Rhinolophus ferrumequinum: one gene and its partners. The protein of the gene in region 1 purifies or fractionates together with the protein of each later gene. This does not show direct contact. Links are inferred from orthologs where the notes say so. Each region holds a gene or a part of one and is shown in the gene's direction. Other genes may lie near its edges. The genes, in order: CAPZA2, KIAA1671 and CRACD.

The links.
Region 2: the proteins of CAPZA2 (region 1) and KIAA1671 purify together in Homo sapiens (affinity purification with mass spectrometry; 3 studies listed by BioGRID and IntAct, counting the BioPlex papers as one, with this or other methods). This does not show direct contact. The link is inferred for Rhinolophus ferrumequinum from reciprocal best matches to the Homo sapiens genes CAPZA2 and KIAA1671.
Region 3: the proteins of CAPZA2 (region 1) and CRACD purify together in Homo sapiens (affinity purification with mass spectrometry; 3 studies listed by BioGRID and IntAct, counting the BioPlex papers as one, with this or other methods). This does not show direct contact. The link is inferred for Rhinolophus ferrumequinum from reciprocal best matches to the Homo sapiens genes CAPZA2 and CRACD.

What each region holds. Positions count from the first base shown.
Region 1 is NC_046309.1:26,073,855-26,077,601, reverse strand, and holds the start of CAPZA2 (F-actin-capping protein subunit alpha-2), read left to right. Parts: upstream 1-1,360; 5' UTR 1,361-1,465; coding exon 1,466-1,504; intron 1,505-3,747. UniProt on the Homo sapiens protein: F-actin-capping proteins bind in a Ca(2+)-independent manner to the fast growing ends of actin filaments (barbed end) thereby blocking the exchange of subunits at these ends.
Region 2 is NC_046308.1:15,425,550-15,429,296, forward strand, and holds the start of KIAA1671 (uncharacterized protein KIAA1671 homolog), read left to right. Parts: upstream 1-943; 5' UTR 944-1,002; intron 1,003-3,747.
Region 3 is NC_046288.1:17,993,863-17,997,609, forward strand, and holds the start of CRACD (capping protein-inhibiting regulator of actin dynamics), read left to right. Parts: upstream 1-1,433; 5' UTR 1,434-2,044; intron 2,045-2,525; exon of another isoform or gene 2,526-2,647; intron 2,648-3,390; exon of another isoform or gene 3,391-3,412; intron 3,413-3,747. UniProt on the Homo sapiens protein: Involved in epithelial cell integrity by acting on the maintenance of the actin cytoskeleton. Positively regulates the actin polymerization, by inhibiting the interaction of actin-capping proteins with actin.

The sequences.
Region 1 (3,747 bases):
GTTCATTCTCCGCACCATTTATCCTCAATAGAACACCCGCTTTTTTCTGCATGTTTCAGCAAGCTTCCCATTAGTTCTCTCCCTAAATGGACTATCTTTTCAACAGCATGGTTTCTGTTCACTTTCCATCCACAAGAAACAATGATTTGCACATTATGAACCCTTAGTAAATTACTTATTAATAGCGTTTTGCATGTGAACTCTCTAAGGTATTCTCTTGTGTCATTTATATGTAGCTGTCAGATTCATCTTTCTAGACATATTTCTGATGATGTTATATCACTGTGCAAAAGTTGTCAACTTTCTACTGAATAAAGTCTTTTTAATACATATTTTTATCGACAAAGAACATTGCATTCGTTTTAGGTATAGAACATAATGGCTAGTCTTAACTCCTGTCTAAACTCTAAGGTCTTGCTGCTCAGGATGGTGTCCAGGCCAACAGCATTGGCATTACCTGGGAGCTTGTTAGGAATGCAGATTCTCCAGCCCACCTTCCACCCGCTGCCTCAGCAAGTGCATCTTAACAAGATTCCTAGCCAGTTAAGCTTTGACTACATCATCACTTTCTTGCTAAACTTTAAGCTTCAGAAGTAGGGTTGCCAGATTTAGCAAAGAAAAATACTGATGCCCAATAAAATTTGAAAACATTTTTTTAATATATCTCAAATGCTTCATGGGACATATTTATACTTAAAATATATATTCATTGTTTATCTGAAATTCAAATTTTACTGGGTTTTCTGTATTTTATCTGGCAACCCGATTCTCAAGAGTAGGATCCATGTCTAAAACATAACTTTGTATTCCTCTGCAATAGTACGGTGCCTTCCCTAACTGTTCAGAGTAGGTTTGAAAACAGGTTTCTCTGGTTTTTGCTTAACATTGTGCAAGTGTATATGCATAGAGACTAATACAGTACCCGACACACCATAAAGGACCAATAAATGTTTCTTGAATGAATGAATGAATGAATATATCAAGAGCAATCTTTCAATTATGGACTGGGTTGTCTGCATATTTTAAGGAAAGCTAAGTGTTTTTCTAGCAATTTTTTTTAAAAAACAAAATGTTTAAAAAGCTTCTATTCGTACACTTTTCACATTTTAGCTGGCAGAGTTCAGGCCTTAATGGGAACATAATCAAGGGCTCAGGATGTACTTGTTGCAGACTGGGTCCATATGGTCACTGGTGGGAAAGAATCCCACACCCAGCACGCTGACAAGCTTGCAGCAGGCGGCGGTTGGCGACTCCTCCCTCTCCCGAGCCCCTCGAGGCTCTGCGCACGCGCCCCGCACTCCGGCCCCGCGGGCCGGGGAAAGGAGGCGGGGCTCCCTGGGCGCGTGCGCGGTGGGCTGGGCTCCTGGCCCCTCCCTGGCTGGGGCGCGCGCGGCGCGGAGGACCGCACAGAAAGGGGGAAGTCAGGTGGCTGCCGCCGCCGCCGCGGTTTGTCGCCAGAAGGAAAATGGCGGATTTGGAGGAGCAGTTGTCTGATGAGGAGAAGGTAAGAGCTGCGGGGGCGGCGGAGCCGGTCGGCCCGGGAGCCAGCGGGGCCCTGGTGTATAAGCCCGGAGGCTGGCCGCCGGCGAAGGGCATTGGTCTGTGCCCTCGGCTGCCTTTGCCCCCCTCTCCTCGCTGCGCCCAAGTGCCTGCCCCTGTCAGTCACCCGAGGCCCGCGCGGGGGCAGGTCTCCGCCTGGCCTGCTCGCTCCACTCCTTGTAGGGTGTGTGCTCTGAAAATAGGAAGCGGGAGCCGGGCGGCGGCGCCTGGCGCGACGGCCGGGCAGGCGGGCGGGGTCGCGCGGGGCAGCGGCGCGGGGACCCTCGCCCTGGGCCTGGGCAGCGGCCCCTGCGCCAGGTTGGGGGCTGTAAAGGGGTCTGCGGGCCGGCCTGCGAGCTTCCCAAGGGCACTGCCCAGCCTGACGGCCTGGCTGAATAGTGTAGCCGGGGTGAAGGGTAAGAGGCAAAAATCGCTTAGGAAGCAGACCTCGAGTTCTCCCTTCTAATCCCTCCGCCCAGTAGCAAAATGCTTCCCTTCCTGGTTCGCGACGCTTTTTTTCCTTTCCCGGTGGCAGTCTGCCTCTCTCTGATTTTTTTTCCTTTTCTTATTTCGTCTTTAGCTGTAGGCTTTGCAGCTTCCGTATTCCCTAGGAGGCCGGGGAGTTGCTCACCAGAAGACCCCTCCCCAGTAGTTTCCTGCCCAGGCTGGCAGCAGCCCTCGGGGGCTGGTTTGGTGGCGCCTCTGCGTCCTGCTAGGAATTCTGTCGAAGAGGGGAGATTGTGCAACTCCTTTTACTGTATCTTAAATGATGCGGCAGCCTTGGAACCAGATGAACGACTTAAGTTCTCAGGCATTTAACATAAGAAATCTGATCATTGAACTAGTTCTCTCTTATTTGCCGTTTCCTTTGGCGACTGTGAGGCCCCGTTCCCCAGTGAGGTGGGGTGGGGACCCTACTGATTTTGAGTATTTCCTGGAAAGGACCTTGAGGTTTCTCAAATTCAGAAGTAACTGACATAAATAAGATGGTTGTTGCAGTTTTTGAAGTGTCCACTCTTAATTTAACATTGTGGTTTTTTTTAAGTTCCAAAGCAGTACAGCCATGTAGGAAACACAGACGTGGTGTTTTAAGAAATCCTAATCCAAGCCTAAGGATACTTTTCAGTTCGAACTCTTCACTCCAAGTGTTTTTACATCCTGTGTTCTAACACGGAAATGTAATGTTCCATCTCCTTATGTCGGTGCTGAGGTCAGCCTCATCTTTACTGTTGGAAATCTTTTTTCTCTGTGCTTTTTGGTGAAAGTTATAATAAAACAACAAAATGAGGACCGCAACAAGATTCTCCATAACCCAGGGACCCGGTAGGCAGAGAGGTCCCTGTATACACAAAGTTGCTGTGCAGTTTTCACATGTGTATCATTGGTAAATCACTATATGTTGATAACTGAAAATGTATGCTCTTGTACACACACACACATTTAAAATTAAGTAGTGCTGAAAAGTTTGTTAAAAAGATTGTCATGTTTTTATTCCACCGTTCTTAAGTGGTTGGATGTAGCTCAAGTCGCTAGAAATCGCGATGAAGAGAGTACCCAGTGTGGAAGCTAATACAGACCAGCCAGGTGTTGGGAAGGCCTAAAATAGTGATGAGGTGACAACACTCCGTATTACCCCACACTCTCTGTGCCACACTCTCTGTGCGCTAAGCTCCATACAGGGGGGGGGGTGTCTAATTCTCTAAGCTTGCCCAGCGCAATGTTCTAAGAGGAAATGAATGAAAATTCTAATTTGAAGGAATTCGTTTTTGTTTTTGTTTTGAGTTTTGTAACACTATTCTATAGATATTTTGCATATAGATTTCATAGCTATATTTACTAATCTAAGAAAAATACTGACTAAACTTTTGAGTTAAATTCTAATATTGTCACTTTAGAAATATTCTTGTAATCTTTTGGGAGGAAGATGTTTGGTATGGAATCAGAGGATTTAAAGGTGATATTTTTAAGCTAATATTTAAATTGTGTTGCTCTTTCTGCCACATTGTAATTTTCAAAAATACGCTTTTAAGACTTTTAAGCTCTTGGAATTTCCATTATTGATTGCAGATGTAAGGAAATGAATCTGTTAATATTTATGTAGTACCATACTTTGCATGTATCTGGCTCAGTTAGACAATACGTTCATTTTTATAAATTTGTTAATTTGAGGTAGGTTATATTACCATTTCACAGATGAGTAAAATAAGG
Region 2 (3,747 bases), on another chromosome or scaffold:
GGATGTTCTTTTTTTTCCCCCTCGCTGTATAACTTTATTGAGGTCTGACTTACAATAAATGCACATATGATTTTAGGTCCTTGTTATTTATGCTCCCTACGTTTCCTTAGGAGCACGTATCACAAATGCAATTACATTTATTCGCACGATTATTGTTTACAACGTCTAAGCTCCACAAGAGCCTGGATGTTGCCAGCTGCTCCCCCACTGTGTTCCCAGCACCTGCGTAGCATACCGCAGATGCTTAATAAAGATCTATGGACTGAAATAAGTGAAAGCTAGCAAAACAGGCATTTTTCTTGCTCAGGGGCGACTCCCTACGATTCTCTCAGTTTAAGGCCTCATCCCGCAGCCCCCACGTCAACACAATGGCAGCAGGCGTGCCGGACAGTAGGCTCCGCAGAGAGGTGAACATGATCCGGCCAGGTGCAGACTTCCCCCTCCCGCCGCGAGGAGGCGCCAGCGCTTCGCGCAGACCCGGCTCGCTCCCGGGCGGGCACCCGCAGCCTAAGCGGTTCAATGGGCGAGACTTGACCAAGCGTCTCTTGAGGTCCCGGGCTGCATTAGGCTCTCGGGGGCGCAGACCGGGCGGCGGGAAGTTGTCCGTTGCGGGGAATCCCGGCCGGGGCCTGGGGGTCGCCCCGGGAACGCGGGCGGGCTCATGAACAACTTTTCGAACCGGGCGCAGAGAGATCGGAGCTCTGGGGTTGGGGGCGCTTCCGGGAGGAATGTCCTGGGCGGCCTCGCAACCTCTGACTCGCCGCGCTGTCCCTGGCCCCTGAGCCAGCGGGCAAGCGCCGGTCCGACCGTCCGCGCTCCGCCCCGGGGCCCTCCGCGCAGGCGCCGCCGGCCGCGGTTGCCACGGCGACAGGGGCGCTTCCCCGCCCGAGGCCCCGCCCCCAGCAGGGTAGGCTGCACGGGGCCGCCGGCGGCGAGGGCAGGTGCCGCGGGCTGCGGGCAGGTGGCGGCGCGGCGCGGGCCGGCGGCGGCGGCGGCTCCAGGGTAGGTTGCGCGGCGGCCGCGGGGGGTGGGGGCCGGCCATCCGTCCCTGTCCCCGGCCCGCGAGGGGGCTGGGGAGGCAGCGACCGACGATGGCCGCCAAGTTTCTGCTCGGCTGAGGCCCCAGGAGAAAAGTTGGCAAAGTTGGCGGGGGAAGAGGCTGGGACCCAGTGGATCTCCCCGGGCTCCGGGTCTGTGGGGAGGGGAAATCTTGATTTGGAAATCGGGAGATCCCGAGACTTGGGAGTGGATCCCGCAGGAAGATCCCGCACAGGGCAGCCAATGGATCCCGCGCTTCTCGGCTGAAGACTTGGGAGTAGGTCCCAGGAGGGGATCGGGCGCCAGCGGCCTGGGGTCCCATTCGGTCCCCAACCCCGGGTGACGGTGGACGGTGATTGGAGACTGGGAGCTAGTTGATTCCTCTTCCACGACGCTGGTCCAAGCCTTGGGAGTGGATTCCAAGAGTTGATCTGGTGGCTGGGAACTGGTGGATCGCTAGAGATCCGGGGTACCCAGCCTGGAGCTGCTAGGATCTCGACGTCCGTGCGGGTTGGAGGCCCCAGAGGTGGACACTGGGAAGCGCGGGTGCCGAGCGAGGCGGAGCCCGGGTGAAGGGATCCTGCGGGCAGCGGGGGCGGTGGAGAGAGAGCAGAGCGCCGGGCCCCCGGGCGCCGGGGATCCCGATGCGCCCTCCCCGCCCGGCCTGCACTTCCCTCCGCACGCCTTCCCAGGGCAGAGGCACCCTGATAGAATTAGGGCTCAATCTCCCCTGCTCCCAGGCGGGTTCGGTTGGTCCCCACCCCGCTGGTGGCGCCGCCAGGGGCTACAGGCGTGGCACTTGGGAAGGAAAGCGGCCCATTGACCCCCACCCAAGGCTGACCTGTCCACACCCTCCTGGCACACACTCGCCTCGGAGTCGGGGCGCCGCGCCCTGAAACCCTGCTTTGAGTCCGGTAGCGGTGCTTATGACCCCTGCGCGCCTCCCAGGTTGTCACGGCTTCCTGCCGCACGACTGAACTTTCGCTAGCCCGGAGCAGCCATTACCTTTTGGAAGGGAAAAGGCTGTACCTGTTGCACAAAGAAAGAGTTTTTTCTTTGCAGCTTATTTGTAACCTTGGACAAAACACTTAACCTCTGTGAGCCCAGGTCTCCTCTCTGGGCAAAATGGGGTGAGGGTGGGGATCACAACCTTCTCTCGTCTTTGGCTGGCAAAATTAGTAGGTATGATAGGTATGAAACAGGTAAGGGCTCTGTAAATATTAGTGGGTCCCCGTTTGTGGCCCCTCCTTTCCCACATCACATCCCCTGAGCTTCCCCTACGGTATCCGAGGGAAAGTTCTAGAAACCCAACTTGCTGACTTTTTAAACTGCAGGATTAGAGAGATGTTTAAGTTGGTCTTTCTTACAAAGAGGTTAATTGCCCCTCTGATCCTCCTTGCAGAGAGAAGCTCTAGGGTTTGGCTAATCAGTAACCAGGGCGTTTGGATGAGGCTTCTTCCTTGGCCCAGCTTTTCTTTTGTTAATCCACGGAGGCCCCTGGACAAACGTGCATTCACCCCCAGACACTGGCGTGTCAGCCCTGGGATTCCCTAGGGAGCTGTGCAGACATTAGCCCTGGTCTTGGTGGTGGTTTTGGGGGGAATCCTTTTTAAAGGATTTGCGTGCTGGACAAGGGTGCTGTTACCCCAGAGAAGTGCAGGATTTCAGTATAGTACCTGGGCACATGTTTCAGCTGGGCACAGGAGCCAGCTCATTCAGTCACCCAGTGTGTGTGTTGAGCACCTACTATGTGGCAAACACTATAGAAATGGTATGGCCCATGGCGGCATAGGACCTGTCCTCCTGGCATTACATTCCAGCTCTTTAGGAATCAGCTTGCCCTACAGTCCAGTGAGGCAACTGTGCTGGTTCTTGAAGTTGGGGGTGCAGCCCTCACCCCAGATTCTGAGGCTGGAGGGGCCTCACTCCCTTTGAGATCCTGGGGGCTGGCTTTTATTCAGGACTGACCTTGGCAGGAGAATAGAGCAGCCCACTGTCTGGCCCTGAGAATTTCTCCCTGCTCAGCATCACCAGAATACACCTCGACCATAAAGAAAGCCAGAAGAATATTTTAAGTATGAATTCATTCATTCATTCATTCATTCATTCATTCATTCATTCATTCTTAAGTATTTCAAGACACTGTCAAAGAAGGAAGCTAGCAATCACACACTAAGGGAAGGGTTAGTGGAAAGAGGCAATTGTCTAAAAGGGGAGAGAGCTATGATAATGGGAGGAGAGGCGGATGTCTTCTGGCTGGTGAGGGATGGGGGTCAAGGGGTTTAGTTTCTTGGAGAGTTTGCAGTGGGAAGAGGTTGGTGTTCTGGGCCGGAAAGAGGGAACAGAAGGGCCTGGATGTACGAGGGAGCATGCGGTGTTGGCAAATGTTGACGGGGGCCAGGTCAGCCATTCTCAGAGGTTTAGACTTTATTCCAGGGCGGTGGGGTGGGTGTTGTGGAAGTTTTTCTGCGGGAGGGGGATGGGGTCAGATGTGTGTTTTGGGAAGCTTGCACTGCTCTTGTGGGGAGGCTGGATTGGAGAGGGTACGCAAGGAGGCTGTGAGGCCAGTGAGGAGACTGCTAGAGAAATCCAGGTGAGAGGTGGTGGTCAATTGGATTTGGATAGAGATGTTAGTGTTATGTTTAGAGACCCACTCAGTTGAACACCCCTTTGAGGCATAACCTTCAATCTAGAGAAGGAACCCCCCAC
Region 3 (3,747 bases), on another chromosome or scaffold:
TACTTGGATAGATGTTCTGATTCTCACTCCATCCCAGGAGCTGCTGGCTGTCCTCTGAGCCACTTAAAAAACCCACCTCACTCACCTTGAACTCAGAATATTCACAACAGTCCATCCCCGGAATGGCCAGGAGGGATTTACTAACCTTATGCCTGACTAATGGAAACTTTCAAAACGATGGTATACTTCAGTTTTCTCACTTTGGAGGTCAAGGCTGTTGGGAAGACACAACAGAGTCCTGAGGAATCCGCAATGAAGATATTTCTATACTACAATATTTCTATTACTTTAGCTTTTGCTTTTTTCTCTTTATTATGTGTGACTTTTATCTGCACAATCACTTTTTGTCCCACTCAGTTCCTTAGTCTCTTCTCCCAATGAAAGATCTTACTATTGTACTCCTTTCCTGAGCACTAAGAAAATGCAATGTGAATACAGAAATTATTAAGCAGACATGGCAGAGTACAGAATCAAGAGGCTTTGGAAGTCTGTGGTCTAACTCAGGGTTTTGCAACCTTGGCACTATTGACATTTTGAACTAGATAATTCTTGGTTGTGGGACAGTCCTGCACATTGTAGACTTTTTAGCAGCATCTCTGGCCTTTACCCACTAGATGCCAGTAGTCGCACTTGCCAACTAGTTGTGACAAACAAAACTGACTCCAGACACTGCCAAACATCTTCTAGAGGACAAAATTACCCACAATGGAGAACTACTGGTTTAACTATATAATTTCTTCCTCACATCCTTTCTGTAACCCCAATAAGCAGTTAAATGGTTAAATATTTTAAAAACTCCTAGTGTTCTCCATCTTTCTTTTGTATTGTATTATGCTCTCTGAAAATCTGTCTTAACTGATAGGCAGTTAGCTATTTCAAAAGTGGAATAGTGGACTGATACCTGGTGTGAGGTGCCACACTGTTGTTGCAGCCATGTATATAGCAACCATGAACCCATATGTTTGAAAAGCAAGGGAAAAACAGCACCCTGTCTAAAGTGTGGTCTGATTTCTGAGGCTCATAAGACACCAAGTCCAGCTAGAGAGCTCTAATGTAAGCATAAGTTCTCTAGAACTCTTTCAATATTTTAAGGGTGTGTAATTTGGGATATACCTTGCTTGGCAAAATTAAAAGGCAGTAGACCAATACCTGATTTATGTAAACTCAAATTTTTTATAGAGTATGTTTTCATGTCGTTGGCAAAACTATAATATATCAACAAAAAGACTTCAGGTATATGTTGTACACAGATTTAATTTTTTACTTTGGGGAACTTCTAGTGCTACTGTAGTAAATCCAAAGGAACTTGCTCAACACTTTATAAAACTCTTCACTAGTCTTTATTTGGAATAAAGTAGGCATACTTTAGGATATGTAAGCAATGAACAATTGAATGAAATCTGTATTTACAAAAATACACAACCTGGTATTAATTAAAATGTTTATCTGGAAAAACCCAGTTGGATAAGTAACATGTACTAGATTCTCCCAGTATCAAAGTTGTTCCTTCTAAGTCATGCACCTGCATTTGAATTATTAGTCCCGTGTTTCGCATTGAGACTTCTAGCTTATTAGGGTTACCTTTCATTGTTTGCATCTTTTGTCACTAAGGATTTTTTTGCTTTGTTTTAAATTTCCTGATTAGTAACAATACTAAATGCAGCATCTTTGCATGAATAACAAAGAAAAAGATCACCAAAAATTGATTTACAAGAGTTTCATTGAAATAGTCAAAGCAAAAAGTACGAAGGAAAAGTCTCAGTGTTTCCAGTTAGGCCACAAAAGGAAAAGACAAATATTTTCCTTAAAACATCAAAGTCACTATATAATTTCATTATGGCTAGGATCAATAATGTCCAATGGCAATGTCACTGTTGTGACGTACAGCGCTCAGCAAAGCGATTCCAAACTTCTCTATTTCTGTGTGGCATCTTTAAACTTGTTCGACTCTCAGGAGTCCCAGTGCCATTTCTCTGTCGGGGCTCTGCAGGACGAAACAATCTCTGGAGTCCGGGTCGCTTCCGTTAGTCTCTGGCTCATCCAGGTAACCAAGGGTCGGATTTGCATCGCGTGGGGTCGTGACTGGCGATCGCGGGTTCTTGCTCCACGTGAGCCTCCTGTGAACCCATCGCAGTAACCTCCGACCCCACGCGTTCAGCCACACCTCGGGCCATCCCCTTACAGTGGTGGGGAGGGCAGTGATCAACCCCACGCCCTTCCCTGCGGCCGGCTCCCGGTGTCTGGGCACCTCCTGGGAGGGGAGCAGTCTCGCGCGCGCCACTGCCGGAGGGCGCAAGAGGGAACTTGGGGCGTCGGGTGCCCCGCAGCGGCGCCCGGCGGAGTAGGGACGAAGCCGGGCGGGGCCGCGGCGCGGGTCCGAGCGCCCGAGGCGCCGGTGGAGCATGTGACCACGCCGCGCGGGGCCCGGCGCGCAGTGCCGCGCGGCGGCGGCGGCGGGGAGAGCAATGGAGGCCGCGGCCGCCTGAGAGGCGGGTGCGCTGCTGGTGCTGCTGCGGAGGCTGCTGGTGCTGCGGGGCAGCGGCGGGCTGGGCAGCGGCGGGCTGGGCAGCCGCGTGTGCCGCCCGCGCAGGACCACCCATCACCAGCCAGCTGCTCTGCGGGCCACGGCGCCAGGCGGAGACCTCAGGTGAGCGCCCTGACGGCCCGCGGCGGGAGCCAGACAATGGGGGCAGCGGGCGGGCTTCTCCCCTCCACTCACGAAACCCGGGGTCGGGCCCCCCCCCGGCGCCCCGGGATCCCCGATTTTGCCCTTGCTATGGGAGCGTGGGGTCTGCGAGGCGCGCGGTGGACTTTGGGGCGGTGTCTCGGCGTGTGCCGCGCGGACCCTCCCGGAGGAACCCGCGCGCGGTGTGAGCCGTTTGGGATCCCACTCGAGGGAACCTGCGGACATGCTGAGTCCTCGGGAACTTGCCGAGAGCGTGGGACCTTCTTATTCCTTCTCTCCTTCCCGCGCCGCGGCATGCTGTCCCGGGGTCCCCGGCTGGGGTCCCGGCTGCGGGTGGGGGCAGAGCGAGACTCTGGGATCTCGGACGCTGACCAGGGTCTGGGATCTCGGACGCTAGGATCTCTGGACTCAGATCTCGGACGCTGACCAGGGGCAGCCCTCTACCCCCGCATGCGCTGCATTGCTTTGTTTAACCTCTGCCAAGCCATTTCGTACCAACTCTTGTTGCCCCAATTCTGATGAGCCCCCGGTTTGATGGCTAAGATAGGACAAAGGTTTTCTCTGTTTACCAAGGGCTGGAGCCGGGAGATTGCACGCTTCCAATGGTGTAAAATGTGTTTTCCTTATCTTCTCCCAGGGTTTCTGGCGATGGTTTTCCTGGTTCTATAACCGTCCTTTCTTGCAGAGCTCTGTAGTGGCGAGATTACACCTAATCCTACGGATACGGTGGGTGGGGTATGGCTTTTATTCATGGTTATCAGTAAACAGAAGGGCAGACGTTTACATTTTATATTAAATGTTCTCAGAATAGACGCATCGGAATCATTTGCTGAATTCTGGATTTTAAGAGCATATGTATATTTAAAGACACGTTGATTCCGTGGGTGTTGGGAGGAGGGACAAAACCTAGTAACTACGACCATGTGTTGTGAAATTTTAATAGAGTTTTATGAATAATAATCCGGAAACTGATCTGGTGTAGGGGTGTGTGTGTGTGTGTGTGTGTGTGTGTGTGTGTGTCTGTGTGTGTGTATGTGTGTTGGGGATCGTGGTGATGCAGA